Linked DNA regions of Nothobranchius furzeri. The protein of the gene in region 1 purifies or fractionates together with the protein of each later gene. This does not show direct contact. Links are inferred from orthologs where the notes say so. Each region holds a gene or a part of one and is shown on either strand. Other genes may lie near its edges.

The links.
Region 2: the proteins of stk38a (region 1) and mob2a purify together in Homo sapiens (affinity purification with mass spectrometry; 7 studies listed by BioGRID and IntAct, with this or other methods). This does not show direct contact. The link is inferred for Nothobranchius furzeri from reciprocal best matches to the Homo sapiens genes STK38 and MOB2.

What each region holds. Positions count from the first base shown.
Region 1 is NC_091755.1:45,349,960-45,352,563, forward strand, and holds part of stk38a (serine/threonine-protein kinase 38), read right to left. Parts: intron 2,100-2,604; coding exon 2,038-2,099; intron 951-2,037; coding exon 833-950; intron 761-832; coding exon 637-760; intron 555-636; coding exon 459-554; intron 187-458; coding exon 92-186; intron 26-91; coding exon 1-25. UniProt on the Homo sapiens protein: Serine/threonine-protein kinase that acts as a negative regulator of MAP3K1/2 signaling. Converts MAP3K2 from its phosphorylated form to its non-phosphorylated form and inhibits autophosphorylation of MAP3K2.
Region 2 is NC_091744.1:77,548,050-77,551,975, reverse strand, and holds the start of mob2a (MOB kinase activator 2a), read right to left. Parts: upstream 2,343-3,926; 5' UTR 2,148-2,342; coding exon 2,032-2,147; intron 1-2,031. UniProt on the Homo sapiens protein: Stimulates the autophosphorylation and kinase activity of STK38 and STK38L.

The DNA.
Region 1 (2,604 bases):
GTCTGGTTGGAAACGGGAGCGACTGCTGAACAGAAACACGCGTGACTTCAGGAATCACACGACACACGTTAACCGGGAACGGGACGCAGACCTGTCGGCGTCAGGATGTCCGAGTCGGGAAACTCGTCGAAGTTGGACGTGTCGTCGATGCTTTTGATGTTGATGGGAATGGCAGCAGGTCTCTCCCTGGAGCAGAACAGACGCTGGGTTAGGAAAAGCAGGATCTGATCAACACCCAGCAGGAAGTCTGGGTGGAGGAAAGCAGCCAAAGGCTCCAAACAGGCCAGCCGCTACGATATTAAATAAATCGGGTCCTTTTTTCCGTCTAGTGGCGGCGGCAGTCGGCCACAGAGGTGCCTGAAACTTATTTAAATCAGCCTTTAAAAATAATCAAAGCCTCCGTCAGTGAAAACACGACATCACTTCCTGTTGATCCGTTATGAGAACCCAGCGCTGACCTGATGTGGTCGTAGTCCACCCCCTCAAAGAAAGGATTGGATTTGATCTCCTCCACCCCCACAGCGCCGATCCGATGCTCCTCCTCACAGCAGAACCTGAAGAGAAACAGCCAAGCTATTGCAGGGTGGTACATAAATCTGAGGAGCATTTATTTTGAAGGCTGAGGTGATTTCCTGCCTGAGAATCAGGTCTTTGGCCTTCTCTGAGATGGGCACCTCCGGAGGGAACGTCAGCGTCTCTCTCCAGTTCATCACCTTCCTGTAGGTCTCCTGAGGCGTCTCCGAGCAGAACGGAGGGTAACCTGGAGAACCAGCACAACGTTTAGCACCAGAACCGGCCCGACCCGGCGCTCCTGAAGGCTGCCTCTGGTTACCTATCAGCATCTCGTACATGATGACCCCGAGGCTCCACCAATCACACAGCTTGTTGTATCCGTTCTGCATGAAGACCTCTGGAGCGATGTAGTCCGGCGTTCCCACCGTGGAGAAAGCCTGGAGCAGGAACGTGAGGTTATGCTGAGATGACCTTCATGTCAGATTAAAAATCACTTGTTCACTAGAATAAATCCTTGTGTGCAGCAGGAGAAGGGCGGGGTTAGGTCCGGTTCATGGATCCAACACCAACAGGATTAGAGCAGAACTCCACAAACGCGTCCGACTGAAACCCACATCGTCCTCTTTACCGGGCCTGAGCCATTCTAGGAAAAGATCCAAGTGCGACTTTTCTTGGAGAAATTTCGATTTCAGTTCAAATCAAGTTTCAACACAATATTCTTAATATAGAATAATATATAATTTTATATAAGTCATAAAAATCTGAAGCTAATTTACTCATTCTTTTCCAACGAGCTCGTGAAGCGTCTGAAATCATGAAACACGTTTTACCCGCTTGTTGGAACTAGCGTCAGAAATATTCTAACGCACTGAGGTCACACTGGAGCCGAGGCCCAAGTAAAAATCGAATCGCTCGCAAAGTTCCCGCGCTGCTCCTCTGTTCACATCAGGCGACAATGCTCGACGAGCGCATCTGCTCACCCCACGCCCGTGTGTGTGTGTGTGTGTGTTCATCTCTCTAGTCTGTTTAGATACACAAAAATGATCACTTTTATGAATCGTGGTGTTTTACTTTGAAAAATGCCTTTATTTTGTTAAATTTACCGGCCTGCCTCTTTTGTTTTGGTTGGACTTCCTGCCAGACTTGACGCAGAAAATGAGAGCTCACACCAAAACGATGGCTGCACAGCACGAGCCTTCGCGGCTGATGTGATCCAGGGGTTAGGCTCGGCTCCGGTGCACCCCCTCCCCCGCGTTGGCTGTTGCCGCGGTAACGCGGGGCAAACCCCTGGATGTCTAAAAGAGATCCTGGTTCTGTCATGAGCGCAAAGCTTTGATGATCACAGGATCTCGTTATTTAAAATTGGAATTTCGGTCCAAAAACAACCGGTCAGTCAGCGCTACTTTTGACCGTCCCATTTAGGAAAACTAGCTAGACATCTCTGATCTTCTGGTTCTGAATGAAAGTTTTACTTTGAAGCTGAACCTGGGTGTGTTCATGGTGTATTTATACGCTCAGACTCACCAGCTGCCTCCTGTTTCTCTTCCAGGTTTCTGCTTTCCTCTTGGAGTTCATGTTCTGAAAGGCTGCAAAGAAACCACACGGCTCAGTGTGTGTGTGTGTGTGTGTGTGTGTGTGTGCGTGTGTGTGTGAGACAGGGTGACATGTTACTTCTGCTGCACGCTTCCAGCATTTTACACCAAACACAAAGTTTTCAGCAGAACATCCAAACTTGTCCGATTTGGGAAAAAACACTTCAGTGGAGGTTTTGTGGGAATGTGAGACCAGAACCGTGGCGGAGAGGAAGTGGGCGAGTGTTAGCAGCGTTAAATGCATCAGCATGATACCCTTTACCATTAATACCATCATCAATAAGAATAATTATTGTTATAACAGGAAGTTAGAAATGAGACTTCAGTAGCTGGTAAACACACATCGGGCATTAAACTTATTTTCTGCATTAAATAATCTCAGATTTTCACCAGCTGATCCATTCCTGCAGGACAAATCTAATCAATCCTTCTATAAACATGTTTATCTGCAGGAAGGATTCCTGTTGCCTAAACTGGGTTTAACTCTAACTGGAGAAGC
Region 2 (3,926 bases), on another chromosome or scaffold:
CTCCGCTCAGGCACAAACATCAGCCCTTCAGTGAGGCTGTGCTCGAAACACGCCGATTTTCCATAACTCACCATCATCTCCATTAAGAATCCACCAGCATTCCTGCATGAAAACAATTGTTTTTTACTGGTTCCTGCTGTGATGTTAAAACACAACTGTTTAATAACCCCATGTAATGACCCCCCCCCCCCCCCCCCCCCGAAGCCGATGGCTCCTGCCAAGCCAGAAGTTGCACAACAGTTCCCTAAATTGTTTGTTTGTATTGCAGAGAGAATAACTATTAACATATGGATGCAGTCGATGTGATCTCCAACAGTGAAAAGCTGATGAAAACAAACCGCTGTGTTCTCTCAGCAACTTTATGACGAGATTGGAGAGGTTAGCTTCAACTTGTTCCTCTTCTCAAAAAGAAATAAACCATAATAAAAAGTATTCCACCACACTGATTAGACGTTTAAACCAGACGCATACATGTTCCCCTTTTTTCATCAGTAAGCGTAGGAAACAAAAGGTTTGATGTGAGCCGGATGTTTCAGACCCGTCTGTTTCTTCCAAGATCCAAAGCCTCTTTCCCCCTAAAAACCACAAATGGAGGAAATGGCAGTCTGAGCAGACCCGAGCAAAACCGCAGCAGCAGCGGGGGCTAAAAAGAGACACGGCTAGCAACAAGATGAACATTCAGCTGGGCCACGTCGCTGTAGGAATCGTTTCAGAAACTAAACTAAAATCTTGATTTTTGCCTTAAGAGGGTTAAAAAAATACAGTAAATGAGAAATGTAGCCATGTAGGAGTACAACACAATACCACAGTAGCTCTGGCTTGTTTATCTTCCTCTTCCAATCTCCTGCTTAATCCCATTCATTGACTCTGAGGGCCAACACAGTACAGAAGGAACTCCCCACTGCTAGCATCATAATGGAGCCTCATCAGCATCACAACACACACGTATTCAAGCACGGGGGTCTGCGATGCCACAGTGCAAAACTGCTGCTCAACAATGCAGCAAATGCCAACACGATTGGCTCTTTTATTGACAGATGAAGAGAATCTAGCTGTAAAAGATAATATGATGGATAAACGTGCTGCTGTAACAAGTGAATTTCCCCACAGTGGGATTAATAAAGTCTACTCTAAAACCTAAACGGGTGTTTGTTTAATCTGGTTGTGTAGGTTTTTCCTCCAGCTAGAGGAGCCGTACTAATGCAAGTTACCTTTATATATACACCTGCCTCCAAACAGGCTAGGAGTTTCATAAACAGACTCTCGACACTTCCTACCAAACTAAGCAGCTGCTTCGGCACAAAAACTGTCCCTCTTGGGCTTCTGTAGTGTATTTCCTAAGGGCTGAGCAGTCTTTACAATAATAAATTTCAACTTCCTGATTGATCAGGAGTGGATAGGCTCGTCTCCACTCGCTTCAGGTCTGGCAACAGACACGACAAAATCCAATAACACTTTAAGTTATGCTCGTTATCGTCCGCTAGGATGATATTCCCTCCGCAATCGACAGCAACACTCCCATTGTGTTGCAGAACAAAACAGGTTTTAAGGTATGCTCCCTGTAGGCTGCTGCTTGGAAAAAAATAAGGTAAAGGACAACTTCACCACAACACACTCCACACACACGTGAAATGATTAGCACCGAGCTCCCTCAGGAGTTAAAGCTGGACCAATTTCCTTCTGGTTTTAAGGAGGATCTCTCGTTTCATACCAGTCAAACGAGAGTAAAAAAACGCTGCCACGGTTATTTTAATGCCTAAAAACAACAACAACACTCCGAGCTCCAAGTGAAAATGTCCTAAATGACTGAAAAGTCTACACGAGGACGCACGAGTGTCTCGGAGACATCATCACCAGACAGTAATTTACTTCTACGTGTGAAAACTCGTGGAAGACGTCACATATAAACAACTCTGAATCATATTTAGGTCATGTTTTAAGACAATGGAGAAAATAAAAATGACGTATTACATTCAAATTCTCTACATCAAAGTTATTTTAAAATACAGATCCAAGGGAAAACTGTTTTACCGTAGCACTTTTCCGACTGCCTGAAGAACCATTTTGCAACTTAATGTGTTTTTAGGATTTTTCTGAGGGTGCATGTCCTTCTTCTTTAAAGAAAATAAGGCGTGATCTCTGACCATAGTTCAAAACATGAAGAAAATAAGTCAGACTCTCTCCTTCAGCTCTTTTACATTTGGCCTGTCCGACAAAGACACAGAGCTCCGGCTCAGGGAAGCTTCCGACTCACTTTACAGGAGAAAGAAAAACTTTTGAGGGAGAGCTTAAAGAAGCTCCACCCCCCCCCTTACTCTGGCCCAATCAGAGCAGGAGCTTGAACCAAGTGGGCGGGCCTTGGTGACGTTGAAGTCAGCCCATGTAGTTGGTCTTATCCTCTGATGAGTAAGAAACAGGTTGACTGAAAATCACACTTTTATTCAGCCAATAAGTAGAAATAAAAATATAAACAACCCATGAATAACACTTTAGATGACAAATCAGAACCAAAACCAAACATATTTAAAATAAAAATAGGATAAACAAACACTAAAGCTCAGCCACTAGTTTATATGCAATCACATCTAAAATATAAGTGTACCATTATAGTTCATGCTAAAACTGTGAGGTGAGCTGCTGAAACTACCCTGGAGTCCGGTTATGACGGCGTGTTCAGACACGGCAGGAAGGGCTGAGGAACCAGTGGGCGAATCAAACACAGCCCGTTGGAGAGCTAAAGGCAGATCTGTGAACACACACACCGAGGTTTCTTTGGAGCAATAATTTGAGAACTTTTACAGTTTGAGGCAAAAGATAAATATAAGCTCTAATTAAATAGTCAACAAGGAGCTCAGACAACAGCATTTGGGAACAAATTGAACAAAAGGTTATAAAAACTGACCGAGTTCAACTCATGAGACAATTGCAACTTCTGTCGCCAAACTTCAGCTTTCCCCTGTAATTATGGTCTCGATCCAGTCTTTTATTCTTCACTCGGCTGCTCAGTTCACACATTCCCACTTCCTCTTCCGTCACCTCTCATTGTCAACGTTCTAAAGCCGAACAGAAATACCTGATCTGAGATCTGCGGCGGATTCTTTGTGGCTTAAGGCGAGCGGCTACATGAGACGGAGATTGTGTTGATTTAGTGTATGAAGGTAACAAAGTGTCCTCTTATGGGGGTTAAATTAGGGTATGAAGAGGTGTGTGTTGTGCAGCAGGAACAGAGAGCGTTTCGGGGCAGCAGTAGCTCAACAGGTTGAGCGAGTTGTCCAGTAATCGGGTTGCAGGTTCGATCCTGGCTCCGGACAGAGAATGCTGCTGTTGTGTCCTTGGGCAAGACACTTAACCCACCTTGCCTGCTGGTGGTGGTCGGAGGGACCGGTGGCGCCTGTGCTCGGCAGCCTCGCCTCTGTCAGTGCGCCCCAGGCCAGCTGTGGCTACATCGTAGCTCATCCCCACCAGCGTGTGAATGTGTGAGTGAATGGATGAATGATACACTGTAACATAAAGCGCTTTGGAGTCCTTACTCTGAGAGGCGCTATACAAGTGCGGATCATTTATCATTCTTTTTGAATACCAAATCAACTGAAATATATCTTCTATATTTTTAAACCTCCTGTGTGATCGAATGAGTTGATAAGGAATGCTACGCATCCTGCATAACTGATGGCGTTTTGCACAAAGAGGGTGTACTGAAATTGCTTTAACTTTATAAAATATATATATTTAAATGATCAAATTTACATTAAAGCATATAATAAGTAATTTGCAATATATTTACATACTAACATTTCTCTGCAACTCTGTTATGTATAACCTGTAATGTTGAGACAAATATAATCTAATCCTAAAAAGTGGTTCCTGCCTTCACCATAAATGAGGAGTAAAAAAAAAAAAAACAACCCAGAGGAACCAGAAGAGAG